Linked DNA regions of Macaca mulatta. The protein of the gene in region 1 interacts with the protein of each later gene in a pairwise test. Links are inferred from orthologs where the notes say so. Each region holds a gene or a part of one and is shown in the gene's direction. Other genes may lie near its edges. The genes, in order: ITSN2, KHDRBS1, WAS, LARP6, SOS1 and SYNJ2.

What was found.
Region 2: the proteins of ITSN2 (region 1) and KHDRBS1 interact in a two-hybrid assay, tested with the Homo sapiens proteins (2 studies listed by BioGRID and IntAct, with this or other methods). The link is inferred for Macaca mulatta from reciprocal best matches to the Homo sapiens genes ITSN2 and KHDRBS1.
Region 3: the proteins of ITSN2 (region 1) and WAS interact in a two-hybrid assay, tested with the Homo sapiens proteins (2 studies listed by BioGRID). The link is inferred for Macaca mulatta from reciprocal best matches to the Homo sapiens genes ITSN2 and WAS.
Region 4: the proteins of ITSN2 (region 1) and LARP6 interact in a two-hybrid assay, tested with the Homo sapiens proteins (2 studies listed by BioGRID, with this or other methods). The link is inferred for Macaca mulatta from reciprocal best matches to the Homo sapiens genes ITSN2 and LARP6.
Region 5: the proteins of ITSN2 (region 1) and SOS1 interact in a two-hybrid assay, tested with the Homo sapiens proteins (2 studies listed by BioGRID and IntAct). The link is inferred for Macaca mulatta from reciprocal best matches to the Homo sapiens genes ITSN2 and SOS1.
Region 6: the proteins of ITSN2 (region 1) and SYNJ2 interact in a two-hybrid assay, tested with the Homo sapiens proteins (2 studies listed by BioGRID and IntAct). The link is inferred for Macaca mulatta from reciprocal best matches to the Homo sapiens genes ITSN2 and SYNJ2.

What each region holds. Positions count from the first base shown.
Region 1 is NC_133418.1:100,660,815-100,665,950, forward strand, and holds the start of ITSN2 (intersectin-2), read left to right. Parts: upstream 1-1,774; 5' UTR 1,775-2,349; intron 2,350-2,710; exon of another isoform or gene 2,711-3,298; intron 3,299-5,136.
Region 2 is NC_133406.1:208,850,753-208,855,146, reverse strand, and holds part of KHDRBS1 (KH domain-containing, RNA-binding, signal transduction-associated protein 1), read left to right. Parts: intron 1-2,100; coding exon 2,101-2,225; intron 2,226-3,327; coding exon 3,328-3,444; intron 3,445-4,394. UniProt on the Homo sapiens protein: Recruited and tyrosine phosphorylated by several receptor systems, for example the T-cell, leptin and insulin receptors. Once phosphorylated, functions as an adapter protein in signal transduction cascades by binding to SH2 and SH3 domain-containing proteins.
Region 3 is NC_133426.1:48,758,458-48,763,515, forward strand, and holds the start of WAS (actin nucleation-promoting factor WAS), read left to right. Parts: upstream 1-1,549; 5' UTR 1,550-1,605; coding exon 1,606-1,737; intron 1,738-2,034; coding exon 2,035-2,175; intron 2,176-3,301; coding exon 3,302-3,388; intron 3,389-3,489; coding exon 3,490-3,592; intron 3,593-3,705; coding exon 3,706-3,747; intron 3,748-3,840; coding exon 3,841-3,894; intron 3,895-4,551; coding exon 4,552-4,726; intron 4,727-5,058. UniProt on the Homo sapiens protein: Effector protein for Rho-type GTPases that regulates actin filament reorganization via its interaction with the Arp2/3 complex. Important for efficient actin polymerization. Possible regulator of lymphocyte and platelet function.
Region 4 is NC_133412.1:48,462,276-48,467,396, reverse strand, and holds the start of LARP6 (la-related protein 6), read left to right. Parts: upstream 1-1,744; 5' UTR 1,745-1,818; coding exon 1,819-2,018; intron 2,019-2,088; exon of another isoform or gene 2,089-2,557; intron 2,558-4,160; coding exon of another isoform or gene 4,161-4,242; exon of another isoform or gene 4,243-4,437; intron 4,438-5,121. UniProt on the Homo sapiens protein: Regulates the coordinated translation of type I collagen alpha-1 and alpha-2 mRNAs, CO1A1 and CO1A2. Stabilizes mRNAs through high-affinity binding of a stem-loop structure in their 5' UTR.
Region 5 is NC_133418.1:85,930,509-85,934,902, forward strand, and holds part of SOS1 (son of sevenless homolog 1), read left to right. Parts: intron 1-853; coding exon 854-935; intron 936-1,706; coding exon 1,707-1,829; intron 1,830-2,132; coding exon 2,133-2,236; intron 2,237-3,355; coding exon 3,356-3,578; intron 3,579-4,394.
Region 6 is NC_133409.1:76,850,091-76,855,170, forward strand, and holds the start of SYNJ2 (synaptojanin-2), read left to right. Parts: upstream 1-1,869; 5' UTR 1,870-1,976; coding exon 1,977-2,103; intron 2,104-5,080. UniProt on the Homo sapiens protein: Inositol 5-phosphatase which may be involved in distinct membrane trafficking and signal transduction pathways. May mediate the inhibitory effect of Rac1 on endocytosis.

The sequences.
Region 1 (5,136 bases):
CCAAATCCAATCACCAAATGCTTAATATCGAATCACCAAATGCTTAATATTGCCCAAATTTATCCCCGAATTACACAGGGTGGGAGGTATGTGTGAGAGAGAAGATAGATAACTAGAGGTGCTTGTATTTTGGACTGTGATAGAGTAGAACAGGATGGACAAACTGGCCTCAAAGTTCTGACGGGAACCCTGGGATACAGTTATTTTAGTGCTTGGGATACTGTAGGCATGCATTCAGGACCCTGATTTCCACCAGAGGTTGTTAGCTTTTTGGTAGGGAGGCTTTAAATTTTTTTAAAAATTTCTTTATAAGCATCTGTTTCTACAAATTCCATTTTTGTCCTGCCGAGGATTTGGTACCTCCTTTAGAAGGAAAGAGGACTCAAGGTGAATTGCACCAGGTCTAGAACCCCAAAACACAAATGACATTGGTCAAAGGACGGGAGAAAAATGAAGACAAGCTATGTGCCTTACAGGAATAAAAAATAGGTTTTACCTCTCAGGCCAACTCTCTGGAGCACTATGTTGTGAAGGATTCTGGTGCTTTGACTCTCAAACATGGGCTCCAAAAGGGCACATCAGTTACCGGTGAAGTGTGCAATGCGAATGAGGCCATGTGCTCAAGACTGCTATCCTTGGCCTGGGTAGTTTGTTTGTAGATGGGGACAGATTGGCTGGTCCCCAGCAAGTGAGGGGCCTCCTAGACTGATACAAGAGTTAGGCCTCTCTGTGTCACTGAGGCTCAGGACCTGTTTGTCAGGTCTTGGTCAGGTTCTAATCGAAGAGTTAGGAAAAACACTGAGTGTGAGAGCGGGAAAAGCCTGTTTATCGTCATCGAAGTTTGGTAAATTCCTTGTGAGCTGGCTGGCCAGTTCAGATGGGCCTGGGTTTGGAGCCATTTCACCTTCACCTGCCTCAGCAGGTAAGGAATGAAAGGATGCCATGGGGTAATTTGATCTACACAGATCAAATCATGGGGATATGAGTTATGGACCCCGGACCAGCCCTCACCCTGCTTCTAAAAGTCAAAAGAAATCTTGGGTCTTGGCGGGGAGTGGTGGCTCACACCTGTAATCCCAGCACTTTGGGAGGACGAGGTGGGCGGATCACCTGAGGTCAGAAATTGGAGACCAGCCTGGCCAACACGGTGAAACCCATCTCTACTAAAAATACAAACAGCTGGGTGTGGTAGTGAGTGCCTGTAATCCCAGGTACTTGGAGGCTGAGGCAGAAGAATCGCTTGAACCTGGGAGGTGGAGGTTGCAGTGAGCACAGATCAATCGCACAGATCGCGCCACTGCACTCCAGCCTGGGCAATGGAGTGAGACTGTCTCAGGGAAAAAAAAAAAAAAAAAAAAATAGAAATCTTGGGTCTTATATCCAAAAATCTTGAGTCTTACATTTGGTTACTTTTTTTTTTTTTTAGACAGAGTTTTGCTCTTGTTGCCCAAGCTGGCGTGCAGTGGTGCAACCTCAGATCACTGCCTCTCAGGTTCCAGCGATTCTCTGCCTCACTCAGCCTCCCGAGTAGCTGGGACTGCAGGCGCCTGCCACCACGCCCGGCTAAATTTTGCATCTTAGTTTCACCACGTTGGTCAGGCTGGTCTCCAACTCCTGACCTCAGATGATCCAACCGCCTCGGTCTCCCAAAGTGCCGGGATTACAAGCGTGAGCCACTGGGCCCAGCCGACATTTGGTTACGTTCATTTGGTTACGTTCATACACTAACTCCTCCCTCACACAAATCAAAAGAAAGCCTTTCCCTTGACGGAGCTTCTTGTCAAGGGCAAGCCTTTGGGATACGGTGGCGACTTGAGTTGAAGCCTGGTCTTTTGTGAGGAGACCAGGAACCGGGAGGGGAGAAAAGAAACAAATTCTGAGTTTGACCTTGGCCTTTCCCTTGGCGAGGGGTGGGGAGGAAAGTTTAGCTTCGTCGTGCTAGGCTCTACGGGGACAGAGTCTTCCTACTGTGTGACTAGCGTAGAGGATGCTCCTTGTGGGCGCTCCGCGTGTGTTATGGAGGAGGGCGAGGAATGGTGAATGGATGATAGAGGGTATGGTTAAGTCCTCCAGGTCCCTGAGAAGGGTTCAAGAGGCCTGTAACAGACCCATGGGCAAGGGTGGGATCGACCTCCTTCCCACCTTCCACCCCCCAATTCCCAGAGAATTTGTGCCCCCACATCAGTGAAGAAAACTTCGGCGAGTGAGAAGGTTCCAGGGAGAGCCCCGTGGCGGGGTGCAACAGGGATGTGGCAGGCACTGCTTGGGACTTTCCAAAACACCGGGGTCTGCCGTGGCAGGAAAAGCACCACCCAAGCTCAACATGTCACCTCGGAGAGGAGGAGCCAGGTGGGTCTCCGCAGCTCCAGGAAGGGCTGCCGGGTCTGGGGCTTCGGGGCCTCCCCGAGGGCAGAGAGGAGCGCTTCGGACCCGACCGATTCGGAGCAGACTTTCAGGGTTCAGTGCCCCGGAACTCCGGGGGTGAGGAGCCACGCCCGGGCAGTTTCGGGCTCCGGAGGGTGGGGAGTCGGTGCCCGGCAGCGGGCGGGCCGTCAGCTGCCCGGCCCGGCGCCTACCTCCCCGCCCCCCGGCTTCCTGCGGAGGCCGCGGCCGCCATGTTGTTGTGGGGCTGAGGCGGCGCCCGCGGAGCCCTGAGCGGCCGTGACAGGCTACGCAACAGGTTCGCTGGCGGCGGCCTGACGACCAAGCCGGCTGCAGCGGCGGCGACGGCGGCAGAGCAGGGTCTCCCGGCGGCTGCCCGCGCCCAGACTGCCGGTGCTGAGGAGCGCGGAGTCGTGCTGTGACGTGCGGGAGGCGCGGCGAGGGCGCCAGGTGGGTGAAGCCGCTAGCGGGGCTGCCGGAAGGCGCGGGGCAGGTGCGGGCGCCGCGCCCGCTGCCGGGAGGCTCCCCCGGCCGGGCTGAGGCGGCTGCGCGCTCCGCACGACGGGGACGGGTCCTCGGGAGCACGGGCGGCCCCCGAGCTAGGCCCCTGGCGGGCTCGGCCGTGCCGGGCGGAAACCTGCGGCCCCGGGTTCCTTCCCCTGCCGCCCGGCCGGGGGGGACGCCGAGGGGGCCTGGGCTGGGCTACCCCTTCCTTGCGGCCGAGCCCGGGTCCCCGACCGCGGCCTCGTCTGGCAGGTGGCGGACGCCGGCAAGGGTCGGGGGGCGGCGTGGCCCTCTCACTTTCGGGGTGCGAGCAGAAGAGAGCTCTGGGGGCACCCGCACGCCTCCTCCGGGACCCATTTTATTTTCGCGGAGTTGGTTTTCCTTCCTGGCAAGGGTTGGTGCGGAATGTCAGGTGAGCCGCATCCCAGTGCGTCAAAGTAGCCCGAGTCACGAGAGGACAGTGGGCGGATGCTTGGCGTCCACCGCTCGCGTTCCTCCGGAGTTGGAAATGTTAAATTTACCTTCAGCGTTATTGACTTCCAGAATATACAGGAAGCACCGAGAGATGTAATCTCTCAGGCCAGATAAAGTTTATTTATTTATTTATTTTTTTAAAAAGACGTCTGCATGTGCATAGTGAGTGGGTAAACCGAGGCTGAAACTGCAGATGGCTTTGCATCCTGTAGAAAGATGCTCCATTTGGATTTATTAATTATGCGCTTTGTCGCTCCAGAATTACCAATGGCAAGTGTGCTTTATTTGAAACTTGTGTTAATACCGAAATAGGAATATGTTTTGATGAAGCCAACCCCGTTATGATAGGAATTAAGGTTAGCACAGAAATGACTTGCTTTGCTCTGTGCTTCTAGTTTGTTTCACAGTGTTTGCTTGCTTACTCAGGAATAGGCAAGGTGTGACTTGAAATTTTACGTTGTTAGCTCAGTTTAGGTAGCATAAGCTCTTGTAGGTTAAAGCTTCTTAAGCATTTCGAAAAATTGCCTCTCTCCCTGTGCTGGTGTGCTATGTTGTTAATCAGTGGTAAAACCTAAAAGCTACCTAGAAACATCGCATAAAACATTTACACGAATTAGTAATGACTTCCTTCAAAATTTAAAGATATTGACAACTCTGATGTGTTTACCTTGAGCTTTTTTTTGGTCCGTGCCTGTCAGCCTCTTGTAATTACAAAAGTAAATAAAGTGGATGTATTTGATGTTTTTGAAAACGTGGAAAAAATGTTCATTGCAGCTATTTTGATGTAGTATTAATAAGCAGTTGAAAAGCTTGCATTTTTTCTCCCTTCCATGTATTGATAACTATTCCCTGTGCCCACCTTTATAATGAAAGGTAAACTCGTCCGAGAAAACTTGACCTGTACAGAATTATTAAGCAGGAAGGTACCATTTTTCAATACCTCTCAAGGCTAAAATCTTGCTCTCTCCTGAATATGAGGAGGTGTATTAGGCATGTTCTGGGGATTGGATTAATAGTGTTAAAAAATTTGTATTTTCACAAAAATAGCACGTACCCGTCACCCAAACTCAGCAGCTTTCAAGAAGCTTTTTTTTTTTTCTTTCTTATTTTAAAAAATCATCTAACCTTATGTAGTTAGTGTATCTTTTTTAAAGAGTGGGAAATTTCGTATGTAACCTTAGGATTTTTAGTTTTAATGTAGAGTTTCACAAATTTCCATCTTTAGTAAGACAAAAGGATCACATATTGGCTGTCTCCTTCAACTATGCTTTGTTCAGTATAAAATACGTTTACCATGGTTGTCATTTATCGAGCACGTAACTGCATGTTAGACTCTATGCTAAGTGTTTTACATAATCATTTAAAGCTTACTAAGGCCCTAGGAGTAATTATTATCCTCCCATCAAAAAGATAAGTGAAATGTTAACCTGAAGTTTGACTACTTTAGGTCTCTGAGCTAGTAAGTACAATAGCCAGGTTTCAAACCAAGATCCTTTTAACTTCAGCACCTGTGCCTTATCTGGTATCGTCATCTTGGTTCATAAATTTAAAAAAGAGTTATATAGGTCGGGCACGGTGGCTCACGCCTGTAATCCCAGCACTTTGGGAGGTTGAGGCGGGCAGATCACAAGGTCAGGAGTTTGAGACCGGCCAATATGGCGAAACCCTGTCTCTACTAAAAGATACAAAAAATTAGCCAGGCGTGATGGCGCGCACCTGTAGTCCCAGCCACTTAAGAGGCTGAGGCAGGAGAATTGTTGAACCTGGGAGGCGGAG
Region 2 (4,394 bases), on another chromosome or scaffold:
TTTAAGCCAATGATTTTCAAAGTATGGTCCCTGCACCAGCAGTATCAGAATTACCTGGGAACTTGTTGGAATTGCAAATTCCTAACACAAATCCCAGACTGGGTTTGAGGCCCAGCAGTCTAGTTTAATAAGCCCTCTTCTAGGTGATTCTGATGCATGAAGAAGTTTGGGAACCCTAGTCTTAAAATTCTAGAACATGGGAATATTATGTGATATTCTATTACAGAGTATTTTCTGATATTTAGAATGTTCCACTGATTTTAGGGAGTATATGTATTTTAACTATTCTCAGTGAATCATATAAGCTTTCAGTTGCTGCTCATTCCTTGGGCACTTTTCCCTCATCTCTGTTAGAACTCCTGTTATAGCACTTAACTATACTTCATTGCCACCCCTATAGTCTGGGAACTCCAGTATATAAACAGTGAAGACAGAGACCAGTCTGACTCGCTCTGTTGTATCTCCTGTGCTTTGCAAGACAGATGCCTGGCTCTTAGTAAGTCCTCCATAGTGATTAATGATTGTACCTATTATAGCTCTCCCTTCATCTGCCTCTCCATACCGTAGGAAGCACTCAAACACTTGCAGTCACTCAATGAATGAAGTTCCTTAATGGTAGGAAATCTTTTTTTTTTGTTTTTGTTTTGTTTTTTGTTTGTTTGAGACGGAGTCTTGCTCTGTCACCCAGGCTGGAGTGCTGTGGCCGGATCTCAGCTCACTGCAAGCTCCGCCTCCCGGGTTCCCGCCATTCTCCTGCCTCAGCCTCCCGAGTAGCTGGGACTACAGGCGCCCGCCACCTCGCCCGGCTAGTTTTTTGTATTTTTTAGTAGAGACGGGGTTTCACCGTGTTAGTCAGGATGGTCTCCATCTCCTGACCTTGTGATCCGCCCGTCTCAGCCTCCCAAAGTGCTGGGATTACAGGCTTGAGCCACCGCGCCCGGCCAGTAGGAAATCTTTTTGTATGCCAAGTTTCTATCTAATGAAACTGTCTTAACCTGTGAATTGAAAGTACTTTTGGGTGATGATGGATATGTCTGTGGCCATAATGGTGGTGATAGTTTCATGGGTGTATACTTATCTCCAAACTCATCATGAATTGTATACATTAATTATGTATGGGTTTTTACATATCAGTTATACTTCAATAAAATGTTTTTTTAGAAAGTACCTTGTGGCTGGGCCGGGCGCGGTGGCTCATGCCTGTAATCCCAGCACTTTGGGAGGCTGAGGCAGGTGGATCACCTGAGGTCGGGAGTTCAAGACCAGCCTGACCAACATGGAGAAACCCCGTCTCTACTAAAAATACAAAATTAGCTGGGCATGGTGGCACATGCCTGTAATCCCTGCTACTTGGAAGGCTGAGGCAGGAGAATCGCTTGAACCCAGGAGGCAGAGGTTACGGTGAGCCAAGATTGCACCATTGCACTCCAGCCTGGGCAACAGGAGTGAAACTCCGTCTCAAAAAAGTACCTGGTGCATTTTGTATCGTTTAGACATTGGCTGAATTTGGGCTAGATAATGGTGACAATATATTAAGTACTTTATGAAAAATTGCCTTTAATTAGGCATATCTACATATTTTATTAACTTCTCTTACGTCACACAACTAGTGAGTAGCAGAGTAAGAACAAGGTCTTTCAGACTCTTAAGGACTAGTATCTAGAGTACTAATGTCACTGTGGAACTTTAATGGAACTATCCATTGTATATTTAGATTATTGATTTTTGCTTTTTTCAAGGTAAGATTATATTTTGTCTTGATGCAGATTTTAATTTTTTGTTTGTTTCTTTATTCTCCTTTCCCCATCTCACCCAATTAATTTTGTTAAATCGATTTAAGAAACATTTAAATGTCTCTATTCTCACGTGAGGCTTCAGGTGAGGTTAGAAGAGCACACTACTTTTATTAGAAGCAGGCTTTGGGCTTTCTAATCAACTTCATATAACTTTAGTACTTTCAGCTAGTTTATTTCTGAAATTGGCACATTCATGTGTACTATTTGGTCTCACTATATGGTACTTCATGTTATTGCTTTAAGCAGACTTCAAAATTTGCTTTTATTTACCAGAGCAAAAATTTAAATTGTTTTTCCTGTTCAGAAATTGAGAAGATTCAGAAAGGAGACTCAAAAAAGGACGATGAAGAGAATTACTTGGATTTATTTTCTCATAAGAACATGAAACTGAAAGAGCGAGTGCTGATACCTGTCAAGCAGTATCCCAAGGTAAGGCAAAAAGTGCCTTGCATCTTTGAGTTATCTTTATAGTTACGAGAGAGTCATGGACTCCTGGGGATTGTGATGCTTTAGAAACTTAAGCCTGTGAAGCTTCTCTTTCATGCTTGCAGTACCTGTTTCTGGCAATTGAAATATCTAAGTTCTTAACTAAACATAGTTATAGCCAGGAAGGAAATGTAATAATCTTTTTATTATCAAAAAGTTTCTTTCTCTAATGACTGCTCAGGCTACAAGTTCAAAGAAAAAAAAAAAATAAAACCTGAAGAGTTGCTCTCTGTCAAAAGACTAACCTGAAATCTAAATAAAAGGAAATATAATACAAATCCTCAATTGGATGAAGTTAATTTTATTTTCTTACTAAAAGTTTACTTTTAAGTAAATGCTTTTTTTCTTCCTTTTTTTTTTTTTCTTTTTTTAGGAAAGCAATTAGTTACATTTAGTTTATCCAGCGTGCTATCAAAGGGTGCTATATAGTCTCTTCTGCTCTGAGGTCACTGCGTTAACAATGTTTATGTATGTTAAGGCATGCATAAACAGGCACAGTGGCTCATGCCTGTAATGCCAGCACTTTGGGAGGCCAATGCAGGCAGATTACTTGAGCCCAGGAATTCAAGACCAGCCTAAGCAACATAGCAAAACCGTATCTCTACAAAAAATACAAAAATTAGCCTGATATGGTGATGTGCACCTATAGTCCCGGCTACTCCAGAGGCTGAGGCGGGAGGATCACTTGAGCCCAGGAAGTCGAGGCTGCGGTGAGCCATGATCATGTCACTACACTTTGGCCTGGGCAACAAAGTGAGAGCCTGTCTCAAAATAAAGTAAAAAATAAAATAGTAAAGGTCTTAGTGTATTATGGAAGATGGCCAGAATACATCAGAAAAGCCAAATTCAGGTCTAGGAACTGCCACTTTCTAGTTTCATAATCTTAAACTAATCACTTTATTAATATGGCTTCAGCGTCCTTCAGTAAAACGGGAATGGTAATACTCTACCTTTGCAGGGTTGTTTAAAATCAAATGAGGTAATTTATGTGGAGATGTTTTTATATAGTAGCATGTATATTTAGAAATCCTTTATTTTCTGTCAGTTCAATTTTGTGGGGAAGATTCTTGGACCACAAGGGAATACAATCAAAAGACTGCAGGAAGAGACTGGTGCAAAGATCTCTGTGTTGGGAAAGGGCTCAATGAGAGACAAAGCCAAGGTAAGCTCACATTAGTGAGGCAAGAGGACATCCTAATGCCTTCTACTTGCCCAGAATGCAGTATAGATGCCTTATAGAGGCAAGAATATTGTGTATGTACAGAATGTGGCTCCTTTAAGTGTGCATTGGGTGCAAGAGATTATACACCAAGTTAATTTACTTGCTTGGCAACCCTGGAAGAGCCTAGGTGTGCCCTGGTGATAGTTTTCTTTTGGACTTTTGACTGCATAGTAATGGACAGAGCAGTAGCATCTTGTGCATTGGTAGGATTGTCTGGGAAAACTTGAAAGGGGAGCTGGATATACTAAAACTTAGTCTAAAGCAGACAAAAGACACTAAAAGGCAAACAGCACACCCCCTTTTTTGTAACCTGGAAAAGTGAGAACAATAGTGTTGTGAGAGCAGAAGAGTTTGAGGATTAGTTGGTTTGTTTTATAGCCGGCTGGAATGTGAGGCTTACTAAAAGAATGTATTCCAAAAGGAGCCATGAGTAATCCTGACTACAGAATCTAATGAGTCTTTTCCCATGCCATAGCCGCATATACTGTGTACTCTGTGACAAGAAACTTCTCACCAAAACAGAATGGTCTTAGCCTTCTGGGGTCACTTTATTTGATGAGATATGCCTGCTACAGTCCGAAAACCTATTCTTTCAATCCTCCTTTTATGTAGCCTAATGGACACGTGTTTGTTTTCTCAGGTCATTTCTTACTAGACGCATATAGTTAGGGCTGAAGTGTGTTGTTCTAGCTAATGAGATTTACATGAGCTTTTCTTCTCTCTGTCCTGACTTCTTTCTTCCCCTAGCACTCCCTAGACCATATAAGCAGATAAGCAGAGCTCGTGGTGATTAACAGCTCTACCTGAGATTTAAAAACAAATGCTTGGCACACAGCTATTATCTGAATAGAGACTAGAATTAAGTTTTTCTTCTTTATGCTTTTAGTAAG
Region 3 (5,058 bases), on another chromosome or scaffold:
ACCACTGAATGCTGTATGGCAGTGGAAATAAATGAACAGCTACCGCTACAGGCAAACAGGAATCATAGCAACAGCTGGGAGCGAAGGCATGGAGGGACGAGAACGTGCACTCACACCCGGCCTGCCTGGCTCGCACTCTGGGCAAAGGGATCAGAACAGTGCCTGGCACACACGTTAAGTGCTATGTGAGTGTTAAGATAAAACTAGGATGTCCAGTGGGGAGAAAGCAAGCCTTTGAAGATTATGTGCTTTTACAAACTTCAAGTGCAATGAAAATTAAACAAGATGTTGTTCAGGCATTCATATATGATATAAAGTTCCTTTTTTTTTTTTAAAGGGATGTGCTGGGCACGGTGGCTTATGCCTGTAATCCCAGCACTTTGGGAGGCCAAGGAGGGCGGATCATGAGGTCAAGAAATCGAGACCATCCTGGCCAACATGGTGAAACCCTGTCTCTACTAAAACTACAAAAAAGTTAGCTGGGCGTGGTGGCGCGGGCCTGTAGTCCCAGTTACTCAGGAGGCTGAGGCAGGAGAATCACTTGAACCTGGGAGGCTGAGGTTGCAGTGAGCTGAGATCGCGCCAGTGCACTCTAGCCTGGCGACAGAGTGAGACTCCATCTCAAAAAAAAAAAAAAAAAAAAAAAAAAGATGAGCAGAAAGTAATTTGGGAGCTGCAGGGAGGCAAGGGTAAGGGATGGGGAAGTGAACCAGAGGCATATGCGTCATTGGCAGTGTCTAAGCACTCAGGATAGGCGTGGATCACAGGGGCTCACTCTGTAATTAAAAGGAAAAGGGTTTTTGTTGTTGTGTTGTTGCTGTTGTTGTTGCTGTTTTTGAGACAAGAGTCTTGCTCTGTCATCATCCAGGCTGGAGTGCAGTGGTGCAATCTCAGCTCACTGCAACCTCCGCTTCCCGGGTTCAAGCGATTCTCCTACCTCAGCCTCCTGAGCAGCTAGGACTACAGGTGCATGCCGCCATGCCTGGCTCATTTTTGTATTTTTTAGTGGAAATGGGGTTTTGCCATGTTGCCCAGACTGGTCTCGAACTCCTGACCTCAAGTGATCCGCTCGCCTTGGCCTCCCAAAGTGCTGGGATTACAGGTGTGAGCTACTGTCCCCAGCGAAAAGGAAAAGTTTTAGTGTAGTAACCCTTCAGGACTAGGGGCCTTGGGCTTCAGCCTCAGGCTACCTGGGTGCTTTAGGAAGGAGGCCACCCAGGCCCATGACTACTCCTTGCCACAGGGTGCCCTGCACACAGATGTGCTGCCAATGGCTAAGCTCTCACTGCCAGCCAGAGGGAAGAGGGTCTGAGCCAGTCAGAAGGAGATGGGCCTCAGACAGTAAGAAAGGAGGAGGAGGACCCAAGCTGATCCAAAAGATGGGTCTAAGCAGTCAAGTGGAGGAGGGTTCCAATCTGATGGTAGAGGGCCCAAGCTCGGCCTAACGAGGAGGAGGCCAGGCCCACCAAGGGGCCCCTGGAGGACTTGTTTCCCTTGTCCCTTGTGGTTTTTTGCACTTCCTGTTCCCTTGCTGCTCACTGCGGAAGTTCCTCTTCTTACCCTGCACCCAGAGCCTCGCCAGAGAAGACGAGGGCAGAAAGCACCATGAGTGGGGGCCCAATGGGAGGAAGGCCTGGGGGCCGGGGAGCACCAGCGGTTCAACAGAACATACCCTCCACCCTCCTCCAGGACCACGAGAACCAGCGACTCTTCGAGATGCTTGGACGAAAATGCTTGGTGAGCTGGGGATCTCCTGCCCCCGCCCCGTCCCCACCATTTCTTCCTCTTCCTCTCCTCCTTCTCTCTCTTCCCCTCCTCCCGCTCCTCCTTTCCCTCTCCATCATCTTCTCTCCTAGACTCTCCTGTTATCATCCACCCTCCCCAGGAAGATCTCAATGTCTACTTGCCTTCCCTCTGGCTGCAGCTCTTCCTTCGGGCCCATGACTGTCATGAGGCAGGAAGGACCAGGTCTGGCTCCAAGACCTTGTGGCTACCCCTGACCAGACTCCACTGACCCCTGCTTTCCCCTCCCAGACGCTGGCCACTGCAGTTGTTCAGCTGTACCTGGCACTGCCCCCTGGAGCTGAGCACTGGACCAAGGAGCATTGTGGGGCTGTGTGCTTCGTGAAGGATAACCCCCAGAAGTCCTACTTCATTCGCCTTTACGGCCTTCAGGTGACCCCCCCCCCGCCCCTGACTGGACTTGCAAGCCAGTTCTCAACCCGCAAACCCAGATCTGTGTCCATATGTGTCCACAGTCCCAAGACCTCAGACCTGATCAGTGAATCCCTGAGCCCCAGAACCAAAGACTCATCCAGATGGCAAACTCTGGCTTGCCTTTCTAAGTCTGCAATGGCTGGCCCCAGTCTCCATATCAAGATCTCTAAAGCCCCCAGTATTAGTCTGCTGCCTAAGCCTAATCTTTTCCACAAATTCCAATAAATGAGCACTGTATTTGTACCTGAACCTCAAATCTATTCTAAACTCAACATTTTGCATCCCAGGAATCTCTCATCAAAACTCCTGAACCCCAGATGTTTGCCAAGCTCCTAAGTCATAAATCTGTTCAACAAACCCCAAAGTTGAATATTCCATTGATCCTTGAACTCCAATTCTGTCCTTTTAAATCCACAGCACAGACCCCAGAATTCCCATATTAAAATTCCTGAACACTCAAATACCGAGGTGGTTCTTAAGCAAAAAGTCTTTTCCACAATTCCCCGACCTGAACTTTCTAGGTTTAAGCCCCAAATTCATCCTTCTAAACCCATAAAGATGGACCCAGCATAACTTCCAGATCCCAAGACTGTCAAATATTCACCAAACTCCTAAGTCATAACTCTTCTCCACAAACCCCAAATTGCACTTACTTTAGCTGGACCCTCCGCAAAACTCCCAAGTCTACGTGTCTGAACTTCAAATCTCATCTCCAACTCCCAAATACTAGAATCCTACCTGTCATGAATTGGGGCTGGGGTGGCAGGGGAGGGCATGGATTGAATCTATGAATGAGCCTCAACTTCCTAAGACTAGAGTCCTAAATTATGAAATTCAAGCTCCCAAGTCCCACATCTAGGGCCCCGAACCCCAAATCCAAACCTCTCACAAAAGTGTATGGCTCCCAGACTATACTCCACATCCACACCCTTAGATCTCAGCTCTCTGGTGCTGAGCTGGAAATCTCCAAACCAGACCATGAGGCCCCCAAATCCAGACACCCTGCTCCCTGCCCAGCTAACAAAGGCCTGCCACCCCTGGTGTGCCTCAGTGCCACTGTGCCTCCCACCCTACACCTCTCCAGGCTGGTCGGCTGCTCTGGGAACAGGAGCTGTACTCACAGCTTGTCTACTCCACCCCCACCCCCTTCTTCCACACCTTCGCTGGAGATGTAAGTGACCAACCAGCCCTCGGGCCTCACTTGGGGTGTGGAGAGGAGATGGGAAAGCTGTGGGGGGACCTGGGAGGCGGCTGACCCCAAGATATGTGCAGGACTGCCAAGCGGGGCTGAACTTTGCAGACGAGGGCGAGGCCCAGGCCTTCCGGGCCCTGGTGCAGGAGAAGATACAAAAAAGGAATCAGAGGCAAAGTGGAGGTGAGGAGGCCGCAGGGGAGGAAAGGAAGTTGGGCAGAGGTGAGTGCAAGCATGGGGAACTAGAAAAGTTATCTCTCATGGTCCTGGCTCCCAATCCATCTGTCTATCCACAGACAGACGCCAGCTACTCCCACCACCACCACCAGCCAATGAAGGTGAGAACTCTAGTGCAAGTAGCGGTAATAAGGGGCTAGCCCAGGAACCTGTGGCAGGGTTGTGATAGCTCTCTACACATTCTATCTTCCCAGAGAGAAGAGGAGGGCTTCCACCCCTGCCCCCGCACCCAGGTGGAGACCAAGGAGGTGCGTGCTGATTCTTCCCTGTGTCTCTGGATGGATGGGTGGGTAGGTGGAAGAGTGAATGGAGGAATGAGCAGTTGGATGGGTGCGTAAGTGGGTGAATGTATGGGTAGATGGATGGGTATGTGGATGGACGAGCGGGTGCATGGATGTGTGGATCGATGGATGGGTGGATGGATTGGTGGTAGATGGCTGAGTGGAGGGATGAGTTGATGGGAGGATAAAACTCTAAGTAGATAGATGCATAGGTGAATGGGTATGTGGATAAATGAATGAAAAGGTAGATGGATGACTGAGTAAATTAGTGAATGAGTGAATGAATGAACAGTGAATAAACGGCTAAATGACAAATTTCAGTCAGTGAAGAAAGCATGATTGAATGAATACAAGAGTAAATGAAAATTTTAACAAATCCATTAGTCAATGAGCCAGTGAATGATAAAGCATGAGGGAATGAAAAAAATAAATGAATCAGTGAATGTATGAATTGTTTGCGGGATCCACCCACTTCTCCATAAACCCTACTTGAATCCTTCACCCACAACCTCCATGGCCATCCAACACACACACAGATTTCCCCCAAGGCTTCCGTTTCTTGCCCCTGTGCTTTGGTTGGTTGGTAAATGGGTCAATGGGCCAACCACCCTATTTTCCCCACAGGCCCTCCAGTGGGTCCGCTCTCCCTGGGGCTGGCGACAGTGGACATCCAGAACCCTGACATCACGAGTTCACGATACCGTGGGCTCCCAGCACCTGGACCTAGCCCAGCTGATAAGAAACGCTCAGGGAAGAAGAAGATCAGCAAAGCTGATATTGGTGCACCCAGTGGATTCAAGTGAGAACCAGTCCCCAGTGGGCCCACAGATTCCTGGGGGCAGAGGGGCACATGAACAAGTGGACAGCTGAGACGATGGAAGGAAGGGCAGATGGCTGGGTGGCTGAGTGGGTAAATGAGTGGATGGATGGGTAGGTGCAGGGCTGGGTCTAGGGAGAGGTAAATAAGGCACCAAGGGTACAAAATTTAAGGAGGCACTCACTCTCAGAGGCATGCAACTGTAATTCCTGACTCTGAGAGTGAGTGACTCACTTAAATTTTGCACCCTAGGCACCTCACTTGCCTCAGCCTGGGCCCACTCTGGGTGGGCTGTTAGGGGAGCAGGTGGGTGG
Region 4 (5,121 bases), on another chromosome or scaffold:
TTCTGAGCCTCATCACAGGTCTGTGCAGAGGACTTATAGCCTCTGTAGCCCTGGAGGGAGGCACAGCTGGCTGGAAAAAGATGTTGTCAACCTCTTGCCTCTTCCTTTCCCAGTAGCTCAGATCCAGGGCTGTGAGCTGTTCTGGTGCACAAACAGCAATAGCACCAAAGGTCTCTCTCTCTTCCTTTACTTACTTATTTTAGGACCTCTTCTATCAAAAGAGAGATCCGAGAAAGAAAGGGACACAGATTCTAGTGTCCTTAAGAAGAGGGACTGTCCTCGCTGGGCCCCTGGATCTCTCCCCAGCCCTGCCCAGAAACCCAGGACCCTATACACGGTGTTCTTTTACAAGGACACTGCCCTCCAGGAGGCCTCATTTCCTGAGCCGATCCTAACTTGCTTTCCTATATCAGAACAAATATATTGGTGCAGGGTTCTGTTGTTTGGGGGTCCCAGTGTGAAAAATTAATATGATAAATTATGTTTAAGGCTCTAAATAAAGTGCTACACGAAAGCAGATTCAGGTCTTATTCATTTGCCCTGCCCCGCCCTGCCTTGCCTTGCCTTTTCTTTTCTTTCTTGGAGTCTGGCTCTGTTGCCCAGGCTGGAGTGCAGTGGCACGATCTTGGCTCACTGCAACCTCTGCCTCCCAGGTTCAAGTGATTTTCCTGCCTCAGCCTCCCGAGTAGCTGGGACTACAGGGGCACGCCACCACGTCCAGCTACTTTTTGTATTTTTTTAGTAAAGACGGGGTTTCACCATGTTGGCTAGAATGATCTCAATCTCTTGACCTCGTGATCCGCCAGCCTCGGCCTCCCAAAATGCTGAGGTTACAGGCGTGAGCCACTGCGCCCGACCGGTCTTATTCATTTCTACGCTCCTGTCCCTAGTTTCTGGGTCACATTTGGAGGGGTGAGATGGAACTCAATTTGAAGCTACACGTGTAAAGGTGGCAGTGTTTTAGAACATCCTGACGTTTCAATAGCTCCCTTTATTCATTCAACAAATATCTGAGAGCATACTATGTGCAGGGCATACTCTATAGGCCCTCGGCTTTCGAACTTTTGTGAACTTCAGCATCACCTAGAGGCCTTGTTAAAACACAAAGTTCTGAATCATAGATTCTGATTCAGGAGGTCTGGATGAGCCCTAAGAATTCAATTTCTAACAAGTTCCCAGGTACAGCTGATGCTCCTGATCTGGGAACCACACTTGGAGAAAAACTGATACAGGGCATGGCAGGAGCCAAGCCCCTGATCTAAGACACGATCTAGAGTGGTTATTATGTCAAAGAGACTAACGATGGAGATTTTCTCATCTTGGCACGTCAGTGGGGAAGACACGCAGGAGGCCTGGAAGCCCCTGGAGCTGTGGTCTGCGCCTGCCACCCCCGGAGTCAAGCACAAACAGAAGTCAGCTGTGCTGTGCCCATCCTTGCAGCGCCGTGAAAGTAGGCGCAGGAGGAGGGAGCCCTGACGCCTCTTCTCCGGCTAGGGCCCCACAGCGGCGAGAGGACGGAGGGAGGGATCGGGGGTCGCGGGGATCCTTCCGGGACAGGCCTCCGCGGGAGGAGCTCCGGAAAGCCGCCCTCCACCTCCGAGGCCCCGCCTGCGCGGGCGCTCAGCTAGCGGTCGGGGTGGTAGTGGTGGTGGCGGCGGCGGCGGCGGCGCGGGGCGGGGCGCCGCGACCCCTGTTCCTCCCCCGGGCCGAGCGGCGGGCGCGCTCGCACCGCCCCCGCCCCCTTGTTGCAGTCGCTGCCGACCGGCTGGCTGGGCCTCGCGGCGTGAGGACCCCGGCAGCGCCGCAGTCCCGCGAGCCATGGCCCAGTCTGGCGGGGAGGCTCGGCCCGGGCCTGAGACGGCGGTGCAGATCCGCGTCGCCATCCAGGAGGCCGAGGACGTGGACGAGTTGGAGGACGAGGAGGAGGGGGCGGAGACGCGGGGCGCCGGGGACCCGGCCCGGTACCTCAGCCCCGGCTGGGGCAGCGCCAGCGAGGAGGAGCCGAGCCGCGGGCACAGGTAGGCGCGGCGGCCGGCCAGGGAGGTGGGCCCCGAGGGGGCGCCAGGCCGCGCGCGAGTTCGGGGCGCTGACTGCGCGCGACAACTCAGTGGGCAGAGGGGGTTGAGTCAGCCCCGCTGCGGATGAAGCAGCTCCGGGCCGAGCCCCTGAGTCAGAACCGGCCCGTGGAGGCAGCCGGTGCCCCAGTCCGCAGCTTCGTCGCCCCACCGAGGTTCCCAGGGCTGGCGGCCGGGATCTGAGGGGCCCGGACGTGGGGATGTTCAGGGATCCAGGAGGACTTTCACGGGCCATCCAAGCCACCCGCTCCTCTGGAGGAGGCCTCTTCTCTGTGGGCTCCCTCAAGACACCACCCCCACATCCCTGCAAAGTGCATCCCTGCCCGCCTTCCCCTCTCCTTGCGAGTGGTCCCACTTACCCTTCACTGCCAGCATCGCCCTGCCTTTCCCAGTCCCGCTGGATGCGCTCAGTCTTTAGGTGGTGGCAGGCCAGGTACAGCGGACACTTGCTGATGGGGGATTCCAGGAGATGGGATTTCATGGTAATTTGAGACAGATACAGGACTTGCTGCTTTACATCCTCCCGCTCTGGGGGGATTCCCATTTTCACACAGCCTTTCCCACCCGACCTTTATGTTTGCATCATCATCTTGCTGTCTTGGGTAGGTGGGTTCCTGGGTTTTGGGTAGTTTGGAGCTGCTATGGCACCTGTCTAACCTTGTCCCGGGTCCTGAGCTTTGTCCGCAGGCACCTTGGCTCCTGTCCACTAATGCCCAGACCCTTAAGGACTGGGGTTTTGTTCCTGCTGTTGAAAGGAGATACAACATAGACATAGACATGAGAGTGGGAAAATGACAGAACTTGCACATTCTGGGGGATGCCAACAGGCACTTGTTAGGAGCTTTCTTTCTTCTAGGACCCTTTCCCAGGCGTTTAGCTGTTAACGTTCTGCAGGATTGTCCTGGCAGGCATATATCTACTTCATTGGGAGAATCCTCAACTTAAGGGTGGATGAATACTGGGCCCAGAGCCATTCTCTATTACTGGCTGACCCTTCCCCAGGTTAAAGGGTCAGATTTCTGGACCCCGAGATTCGGGGCAGACCAGTAGAGACAGTTATTAGGGGAGAAAAGTCAGCCCACCAGGGTAGGGCAGGAAAGCTGGACCATAGCATATGACGCGGTAGATAGATCTGTGGCTTTATAATGCAAGGCCTGATTCATTTAGCTCTGTGCTAAGTACCGAGAGCGTAAAAATGATGAACCCATAGTCACTGACAGCTCACAGTCTTGAGAAGGCAGTCACCTAGTTAGATAATATCCGAGTACGTAAAATAGCCCCGAGTAGTTTATCCTTATAACTTTATTTTCCTGCGGCAGTGGCAAATAGCCATCCCTATCCTGAGGGCTAAATTTGTGAGATTGTATCATTAGTCAGGATTAAAGCTCTACTTATGTTTAAGGCCTGGAAAGATCCCCTATGGAAGTCTAGGAGAAACCAAGCTTCAGTATGGGTGGGCCTCTTGCCTGAACCCCTCTTGCTCTTCCTCCAGAATTCCCAGCTCCCATGGCTTGAGTCTCAGCAAGTGTTCAGTCTGAAGCCCTTCCTGCTGCCCACTGGCATAGAGTTGACCCCAGAAAATCCCTGGGGTTCTTCAGGGAGCCGACAGAGCCCAGTGGGCAGGCACCCAAAGCACGAGGAGATGTAGCCAAGAACAGGATTCACACTATCCCCTGTTTGGGCCCAGCCTTGCATGGCAGCAGCCATCACCTGATGTGAATGTTCTCAGCTCCTGGAGCCTACAGGAGAAAGCCCAGATTCCTCAATCTGCTCATTAAGATGCGACACCCACTCACATCATCTCCTCAGCCCATTGCTTCCTTCCCTGCTCCCGCAATTCCATCTAGTTGCCTGAGCACAGGGGGCTATTTTGTGTCTACATGTCTCTGCACCCCCACCTCTAGGTCCTCTGATTGACTGATTTCTAGTCAGCCTTTAAAACTTTGCCGCCTCTTCTCCACCCACCCCCAATCCCCACCCCAGAGCTGGCTGTGTTTCCTTTCTTCTCTGTTGCTGTAGTACTCTGTACATTTTATGCCTAGCACCTTCCACAATTGTGATTCTATCATTGTGTCTCCCTCACAGGGATAGGAGCTCGGTGAATTCAAGGACCATGCTTGCTTCCTTCATTGTATCTTCAGCACCTAACACAGCACCCAGCACATAGGACATATTTGTTGACCAAATGCATATCTCTGTCATCACACTCACTCCATGGTGTTGAGATATGTGTGTTTCCCCTCCCCTAGACAGTGAGATCCTTGAAAGCAGCTGCCTTATCTTACTCCTTTTCGTATTTCCATACCTAGCCTAATACCTGGCTTATATAAGGGAACAGAGAATAAACGAACAATAAAGAAAAGCCTTTACAACCTCTAAAATGTTCATGGATCATCTCCCCACATCTCATTCATTAAAAAGATGCCTTTCCTTTTATTCTCACCTTTTTAACATACATATTTTCAAACATAAAGAAAATATGAAAAACCAGTACTATGAGAATTCATAGACCCATCATCTAGATTTAACACTTAATATTTTGCCATATTTAGTGAATGGATATATAATGTATGTGTTTTCCCCCGAACCATTTGAGATATGTTTTACACAAGATTATACCTTAAATACTTCATTTTGTAACTCCTAATAATGACATTCCCTATAAAGCCCTAACACTATTATTGCAACTGAGAAAATTACCTATCATTCCCTAATATAATCCTGAAGATAAGCTAATCGCCAAGTTCCACATTCAGGATTCCCCAGATTGTTCCACAATTGTCTTTTACAGCTGTTTATTTTTTCCCCTCAAACCAGAATATGGTCTGGGTTGAGGCATTTGCTTCTTATGTCTCTAGAATCTGTTTATCTAGAAATTTCCACCATTTTTTCCCCTAATGCTTTGCTATTTTGGACAGAAGAGGCCAGATATCTTGTTGAATGTCTCACATTTTTGATTAGTCTGGTAATGTGTTCATGGTCTTATTTTACTTGCTCCTTTGTACCATGTGCTTCTTATAAACTGGAAGTTAGGGCTAAGATTTTG
Region 5 (4,394 bases), about 15 Mb from region 1:
AGCCCAAGTCTCTTGTGCTAGTGACAGCAGCCTTTCTCCACAACTTAGGAGAATACTGTTAAGGAGAGATGGGAGTAGGCCAGGCCTGTGGGAGTGATCACACTCAGCTTCTTGTTTTACTTCATGGAGATGTGAATGCAAAGTAGGTCCTTTCATGGAAGGGATTGGAGACTCCTGTATTTATGATTGATCTCTCAGTGTGACTACTTGAAATAAAGGCAATTAAAGGTTGGAATAGGACCAAACCAACATATTCTATCACATTTAATAGTTTTAATAGCTTATAAGTATTTGTAAGCATCTTTAAGCAGTTGTGAGATTTTTAGCAAATAATTTAAAAACTGTATTTAACTTAAGCTACTACTTTATAAATTCCAGTTTCCAGTTGTATGCTCTGTTAACATGATTTAAAGAAAGCTAGACAAGTAATCCTAGATAAACTAATCTTGATGAAAGGAAAAGTAATGGGTTATTGCTGTGGCCTTTCTCTTTATAAGGGAGATAAACCAACTGGTGATGCTTTGAGATCCTGGTAGCAGGTGGGAGGGGAGCCTGGTTCCCTGCTTTACCTTTGCTTTTCTTTCTTGCTCATTCCTATGGCCGATGACTTTAAGATCATCTTGTCAGTGTGCAGAGGGCAAGAAATAAGTTGATGTAAAGTTTTAATATCAATGTTTTCACCACTAATTTAGGAGGCACTAAGCTAGCAGTGCATTACCAAGCCCAGTCTGTTTGTCAAAACATTTTGGAACTTTTAAACTTGACTATTTGATCTATTTTGAAAATGTAAATAATAGTTTTAATCATTTTGAATCACATAGTTTAATAAGATATTTTTCCTTTTTCTTCTTAGATCCCAATTTTGTTCGGACATTTCTTACAACATACAGATCCTTTTGCAAACCTCAAGAACTACTGAGTCTTATAATAGAAAGGTCTGTCCATTTAAAAAATATTTAAATTCATTATTTTTTGTTAAAAAAGAGATTAAGCTAAGATCTTATGTTTTTCAGAAATGTTAGATGAGCTTTAAAATATACTTCACGAGCACTTTTTCAATAAATAAAATCTCTTAAATGAACATTTATTTTGTTAGCTTTTATTATTTCAATACAAAAATTATTTTTTGTATGTGAAAACTCGGTATTTGAAATTTCAAATTTACAGAACGATCTATATAAAATTTATAATTTAGAGTTGAGAAATTCAAATTTTGATGAGTTAGATGTTCTAAGTAAGTTTTCAAACATACTTCATGTTGAGTAAAATGGAGCTTGTCAGTGAACAAATACTGTGATGGAAGGAAAATATTTCATGTATCCAAACAAAGAGCAGTCAGTTTTTCTGGAATTACCCTTAACAGTGATTATGTCACCTGATTTAGAGTAATTCCACAGACCAAAAATGAATATCAGTCCCATAACTTTATAGTCACATTTATTTTTAGAATTTGCATGTATTCTTTATTTTGTTTGTAGTTAGTTTTATCTATATTGGCAAGTACTAATTTATTTTAAAATTTTAAAAATAATTTTATTAACCTTTAATATTATAGAAGTCTCACTTATTTACACTGACATGCATATTTTTAGTAATTTTTTACAGTATTCTCTTGATTTTGCTGACAGGTGGAAACATTTGTGGTTTTCTATTTGTATAACTCGATATAATTAGTATTTTCATTAATTTGTTCTATTTTATGTTAGGTTTGAAATTCCAGAGCCTGAGCCAACAGAAGCTGATCGCATAGCTATAGAGAATGGAGATCAACCCTTGAGTGCAGAACTGAAAAGATTTAGAAAAGAATATATACAGCCTGTGCAACTGCGGTAAGCATTAAATAAATGAAGCAAATAAGTCTTTATCAAACTTTCATTTTAGTGTTGAAGTATATAAGGACCTTTCCCAAACAAGGAGCGGGGTGACAATAAAATTAATAAATTAAATTTACTAATTATAGCAGTTATCAGAAATTATAGTGTAAGTCTTAATGTAGAATTTTGGAAGTGTTAGGCACCCTGATAAGAATAACTTGGTAAGAGTTACTGTGTTTTCATTTGTATTGTACCATGCATTGTGATAAACATTTATGTTTGATTCCCATGTAATTCAATTCTGTGTTAATGCTGTAGAGTATTAAATGTATGTCGGCACTGGGTAGAGCACCACTTCTATGATTTTGAAAGAGATGCATATCTTTTGCAACGAATGGAAGAATTTATTGGAACAGTAAGAGGTATGTTTTTTTTTTTTAGGTGCTTAGTTTTATATGTAATAAAAGTACCAACACGGTGACTATCAATTGATGTTATTGTGGTTCAGTAATACGAGATGTTTGTAATAGTACCAGCATAACCATTTGAAAAAGTTAAAAATTTTCATCAAACAACATTTAGACCTGCAAATTGCTCAACAGTCACCCTGTTGATCCAATGTATTTTCATTTACTGAATCAACTTACTGATTATTTTAAGAGTTGGTTAAGCCAAGTCTTCATACATATCCCAAAGTATGAGGGCGTTTGGGAATTACGTTGTGCCATTATAACACCACTGATGGAGGTCGAGTGGGCCACAGGTGAATAGAGAGAATCAGAGAGGAAGCAGAGTGGATTAAATTGAGAGTTTGTGTCTAACACTACCACTGATCAGATATGTGACTTTGGGCAAAATCACTTAGATTCTTTAGACTTCAGTTTTCTTATCAATAACATGAGGAGCTAGGTTTGTTGATCTCCAAGGTTTTCCTTCTAGTTTTAAAGATTATATGAGTGTATAGCTCTAAGGATGTCTTAGACAAACTTATTTTTATTTCCTTTGTATGCTCTAAATGATAATCAGAAAATAGTTAAATAATAGTACTTTAAATGTACAATACAAAACAGAGCCACATCAAAACTCACACTAAAAATGAAGGAATCAGTCCTCTGGCACTGATATTTATTGGTTTATAAAATGCAATGTGAATTAGATTAATAGTGTGTATAATCTATCCTTATAAATCTTGTGATTTACATAAGATATACCTTTTGGAGGATTATAAAATAATACATTAAACTGAAGATCAGAACAATGGGGTGGACAGTCTCTACAAATTAAGTACTTTCTAATTTTATTTGGAAAGGATCTGGAAGAACACGTGCCAGGCTACTAACAGTGGTTACCCATGTGGAGAAGAGTAGTAAGATTAGGATGGGGGCCGGGAAATGGAAAAAGGGAACTTGTATTTTTCATTTTGATCATTTGAACTTTTTATAGCAAAGATACGTTCAGGTATCATCTGTGTGATTTTAAACCATTTTAAAAATATTAAATAAAGAATATTTAAATGTTATTTAAAATATAATGTATTGCAGGTAAAGCAATGAAAAAATGGGTTGAATCCATCACTAAAATAATCCAAAGGAAAAAAATTGCAAGAGACAATGGACCAGGTCATAATATTACATTTCAGAGTTCACCTCCCACAGTTGAGTGGCATATAAGCAGACCTGGGCACATAGAGACTTTCGACCTGCTCACCTTACACCCAATAGAAATTGCTCGACAACTCACTTTACTTGAATCAGATCTATACCGGTATGTACTTTAACATTCAAGCTGAAAAATCATTTCAAAAGAGTGAATTTTTAAAATGAAATACTGATTTCTGCCTTACAGGGTTGTCCTAAGACTTAACTGAAATCGTACATGAAGTGTCTAGTAATGAGGCCAGGCAGGCACTTCCTGTTCTTTCACTCCCTTGGTCCCTCCAGCTGAATTTACACCTTCTGTCTTTCTGTGGTCACCCCTAGTTGGTAAGGCTAGGTTCAAATCCTGGCTTTACTAATTGCTGACCCTGGGCAACTTTAACCTCCTTGTGTAACTTTATCCTTCTGCCCCTTATTTTCCTCAAGAGTAAAATGGGGCTACTGATAGTACGTACTCCTGGGGCTGTTTTGAGGTTTGAAAGTCAATGTATGTACATTACCTAGCACAAAGTAAGGGCTCAATAAATGTTGGCTACTGCTTTATTGTGAACTTATAGCCATTATAGTCTTTTTTAGTTTATCATACTACATTGATATAATTATCTCAAAAATGTCCTTCTGATTTTAAATGGGGACTATTTAGAATCTTAAACTAAATTATTCATTTTTTAATAGCTAAATGAGAAAATGAGCTAAATTTATAGATCTCCCACTAAAAATCATATTTCTGAAAATTACAGTATTAGAATCTATTTTGTTTATTTCCTAGGACCCTTTTGTGGTAGGTTTTTTTCCTCTCCTCCTTTAGACCAAAAAAAAAAAGATGTAGGAATTGCATTGATTACTGTACCCTCTTTGAACTGATTTATAACAGATATCATTACTTAAATGTCTACTTTGTCACCCTAATTTATTAATAATGTTT
Region 6 (5,080 bases), on another chromosome or scaffold:
GTCTATATCAGGGCAGAGATGACTATCAGTGGCATGTTCTAGTTTAATTGAAAGCTTTTTTTCTTTCTTTCTTCTCAGTGGTATATAAAATAGTGGTTCATTTTACAGTTGATGGTGACTTGGATTCTATAAGCTGTGAAGCTCAAGTGCTGGTCCTGACTGCAGGAAAATTTCTAAAATAGGTATGGTATGCCACTGTGCAGGATTTTAGACTATGTGATGCTAGTTAGGAAAGAGGAGAGAGAAATAAATGGAAGACTGGGTCCCCTCCCTAAGGCCTTACCACTTAATTTGCAAAACAGGGCTAAGAGAAAAGATATAAAAACACTTCTCAAGCAATATATATATATACATATATATATTATATATAATCTGGGTGTTATATAAGCACTATTATCTGGGACCTCAGCATTCCAGGAAGGCTTCCAGGAAGAAGTGAATTTGGGGTCAAAAAGTGGGTCACAGGCTCATATGCCTCACTGAATGGGCATACTGTTTTCATGAGGTAGTAATATTTCCATTTACACAGAAAGAAGCTGCTGCGACAGCTGATGAGCATCATGCCTGGGATATTGAGCACATCATGCTTGACCTGGGCCAAGTGTGTGGGCAAGGAAAGGGGCTGAGGGTCAAGATGATCTCTGCTGGGGTTGCTCAAATTTATTACCCAATCATCCCCTGAGAGGTTGTCCCCTTGTCTGGTCATTACTGAATGTCTGCAGGGGCATGGCAATGTTCTGCTTGGCTCTGGGGGCTCTGCCTTTCCTAGGACAAGTCCCAGAGACAAACAGCTTGGCCCAGTGCAGCAGAATAGGGTGAGAGCGGAACTGAGTTCGTCTGCCGGCGGGATGGAAACAGCTGATGGAGGCTTCTCCACGATCCCCACGTACCCATGTACCCATCACAAGAGAAGGGAATTAAGCCAATTAAGCCGCCAAACCACCCCAAAGGGTGATTCCAACTCAGCCCTAAACACCCATCCCCACTCCACCTCCCCTGCAGCTCTGACAGGCTGAGCCTCGGCGCTAGAACCCGGCGCCAGAAGGCCGGGCCACAGGTGACTGGGCTGCGAGGCCACACTCCAGCGTACACGCGCGGACACGTGCTGGTGTCCAGGGCCAGTGGGAGAGGCGCTGTCACCATCTGACAGGAGAGGAAGGTGGCGCTCAGAGAAGTCAGAGTCACGTGGTAAGTGGGGGTCGTGGTCTGGGGATCACGGCTCCAGGTTTCTTCGCGACAACGCACCGTTGACCCCCAACACCTCTCCCTGGCGGGGACAGTGACCGCAACAGTCTCCGCAATAGAACGCTAGTGAAAAGTAACCTTTCTCCAGCCCGCTCCACGCGCTCCGCACCCGCTAAGCGTCTCCGCGAATTAACTCAGTTTTCCTCGCCGAAGTAGCCGCAGTTATAACCCCGCTTCACTGCAGGGAGACCGAGGCACGCAAGGTCGAAAGGACTCGTCCAGGGTCGCAGGAGCCGACCACACAGGGAGGCGGAGCGCCCCCGGCGGGAGCAGTCAGCGGGTCCAGCCTGGCGGGCTCCCAGGCCGGGCTGCCCATATAAGGCTGCGGGCGGCCAGCATCGCGGCCCGGCTCTCGGGGGCGCCCCGCGCGGGTCATCCTCCTCCGCGGCGAGGAATGCGTGGCATCTGGGAGGCCCTTCCGCTCCACGCCCGCCCACGGGAAGCCTCGGCCCCGGGGCGCGGCCTCGCGCAGCTGCCTGGCCGCTGGGGGGAGCGCGGGGCCGGCGGGAGGCGGCGGTGCGCCCTCACCTGCCCCAGGCCGGGGAGGCGGGTGTGTGGAGGAGGAGGAAGGGGAGGAGGCCGGGAGGAGGCCGGGGAGGAGCCTGGCGCGGCGGGAGCGGCGGCGCAAAGTGAAACTCTGGGAAGTTGCGGGCGCGCGGGGAGCTGTAGCGGGCAGCGCGCCCTCGGGGGGACGTGGCCCCGGCCTCCGCCCGCAGCGGGCCCGACCCCTCATGGCCCTGAGCAAAGGGCTGCGGCTGCTGGGGCGCCTGGGGGCCGCGGGGGACTGCAGCGTGCTGCTGGAGGCGCGCGGCCGCGGCGACTGCCTGCTGTTCGAGGCCGGCACAGTGGCCACGCTGGGTGAGTCCGGCCCGGGGGCAGCGACGCCCGGAGGAGAGGGCGCCCGCCTTCGCCCAGCCTTGGGAAGACGGGTACCCCACTTCCCGAGGGAATCGGGCGGCGCGGGGACTGCCGGGGCGTAGGGGTCGCGCGCAGAGGGGTGGCCTTTTGAATGAAGTGGCACTGGGGACTCTAGAGAGCGCTCGGGCTGGGCGGGTGGTGCACGGAGGCTGGCCTCCCCTCCACGGGGATCTCCGGCCCGCGCGGCCGGAGGATGTGTTTGCTGGAGAGCCGGCTGGGGCGCTTTGCGTATTCATGAGGATCCCCTGGGGTTGACTGAGGAGCCGGCCTGACCCTGTGCCAGGCGCCTTTTCTTTTGCACCTGTCGATGAAACCAGTGATTGCCCTTTGGTTTGTGTTGGCGGCTCCACTCCTGGAGGGGATGGGGACCAAAGCCCCAAAAAGGTTCTGGAGAAACTGCTGATGGCACCTTTGTCTCACGTGAATACTTGGTCAAGAAGCATCCGTAGTGCAATTTATAGAACTTGTAAGCAAATATACCATGACCCTACCTTTATGCTGTCTTAGATCCTGCCAAGCCAGCGAATTTCACCTATGGACTTCAGAAGCCTTGAAACTGGCACTGTGCTATGGGCTTTAGGACATTATCTCACTTCATTCTGACAATTCTACTAAAGAGTTATTATTATCCCCATTTTGCAGATGAGCAAACTGAGGCCCGAAGAGGCTAAGAAAGTTGCTTGCCAAGGTGACATCATCCACCTGACTTTTATGTGGCTGTTTCTGTAATGTCATTCAATACATGGCTTCCTGGTATCAGTAACCTGGATCCCTTGTTTTGTGCTCACCATTATAAGGAAAGCCTGGGTAGCAGCAAAGCACGTGAAACCAGGTCTGATTGTTAGACTTGTAAATGTGGACACCGGAGAGTAGGCTCCCACCAGTAGGCGTCCAGCTGTAACAGCTTCCCGGTATTCCTAGCTAAACAAGGTGCAGCCCAGGGTCACTTGTGCTTGAGGTGGTCGGCAAATGCAGCAGGCAGTCACTTGTAGGATGCTTCATAGATTAGATGCCTCTAACCTTGTTTTCACATTTGCTTGTGTCGACTCTAGTTTAGATGTAGTCTTGGAAGGACTCTCCTATTTCTGATTCCCTAATCATTTAATTAACATGCATTTATCCAGTTTGTTCTCAGTCACTTGATTACTGAACCAATGTCTCCAGTATTCTCAGCATCAAAAGTGGGCAGCGAATTGTAGATTAAGTTATTTTCAGGTTATTCCAATGTGTGCTGTCCCGAAGAGTCTAAGTTTGGTCATTTGGTATGGCCTTAAAAGAAAACCACAGAAATTTTCATTCCATTTTAGATGTCTACTTCATACCACATTTATCAGAAGCAAAAGATTAATTTCACGGTACAAAACTACTGTTTCATCAAATAGATTAAAATGTCCTGGCCGGGCACGGTGGCTCAAGCCTGTAATCCCAGCACTTTGGGAGGCCGAGACGGGCGGATCATGAGGTCAGGAGATCGAGACCATCCTGGCTAACACGGTGAAACCCCGTCTCTACTAAAAATTACAAGAAAATTAGCCGGGCGAGGTGGCGGGCGCCTGTAGTCCCAGCTACTCGGGAGGCTGAGGCAGGAGAATGGCGTGAACCCGGGAGGCGGAGCTTGCAGTGAGCCGAGATCGCGCCACTGCACTCCAGCCTGGGGCACAGAGCAAGACTCCGCGTCAAAAAAAAAAAAAAAATGTCCTTCAGTTGGATTACAGCAACATTAAGTCAGGTTCATACACATTCAAGAATTATTTGAAGCAGCTTAGAAAAATTTTATTTTTTCAAAAGTGAAGATTTAAAAATGATTAATGACAGCAATGTAGTGCATATTTTCCATTAGGAGCTGGAGTTTGGGCTGAGATTTACATCACGTTGGTGATTACAGTATACCAGATTTTAGAACAGAGAATGTAAGAAAGGAATTGGCTCGTCTTCAACTCATGTGCAGTCCACATTTGTCATTTAACCTAGCATTCATTTTTCAGTAGAAAAAACTTAAAAAAATCTTTTCTTTTTGAAACAGAGGCTTCTTCTTTTGCCTAGGCTGGCATGCAATGGCACAATCACAGCCCACTGCAGCCTCAACTTCCCAGGCTCAAGCAATCTTCCCGCCTCAGCCTGCTGTGTAGCTGGAACTACAGGCACGTGCCACCATGCCTGGCTGATTTTTTTCTTTCTCTTTCTTTCTTTTCTTTCTTTCTTTTTTTAATGGCGTCTCACTATGTTGTCCATGCTGGTCTTGAACTCCTGGGTTCAGGTGATCTTCCCGCCTCGGTCTCCCAAAGTTTTGGGATTACAGGCATGAACTACTTACTGTGTCTGGGCTGAAAACTTAATTTTTTTTTTTTTTTTTTTTTTGAGACGGAGTCTCGCTCTGTCGCCCAGGCTGGAGTGCAGTGGCGCGATCTCGGCTCACTGCAAGCTCCGCCTCCCGGGTTCACGCCATTCTCCTGCCTCAGCCTCCCGAGTAGCTGGGACTACAGGCGCCCACAACCGCGCCCGGCTAATTTTTTGTATTTTTAGTAGAGACGGGGTTTCACCGTGGTCTCGATCTCCCGACCTTGTGATCCGCCCGCCTCGGCCTCCCAAAGCGCTGGGATTACAGGCGTGAGCCACCGCACCCGGCCCTTAATTTTTTAAAGTCTGTTTTATTTAAGTGAAATGAAACTATTTTTAAAAAGCAGCTGTAGCATTTGGTGGCTTTGCTGGTCCAGAGAGGGTTTGTAGGAGAGAGCCTTCTGTTACTAGAAAGTTGTTTCAAACTTTCAACATATCCTAAATGTATCACTATTGGATAAAATGGCTCTGAACTTGAAATTCCCATCTGTATTCCAAAGGGCTAGCTAGCTGTTTTACTTTCCTTTCTTGGAGAAAGTGATTTTTTTTTCTTTTTTTTTTCTTTTTTTTTTGAGACGGA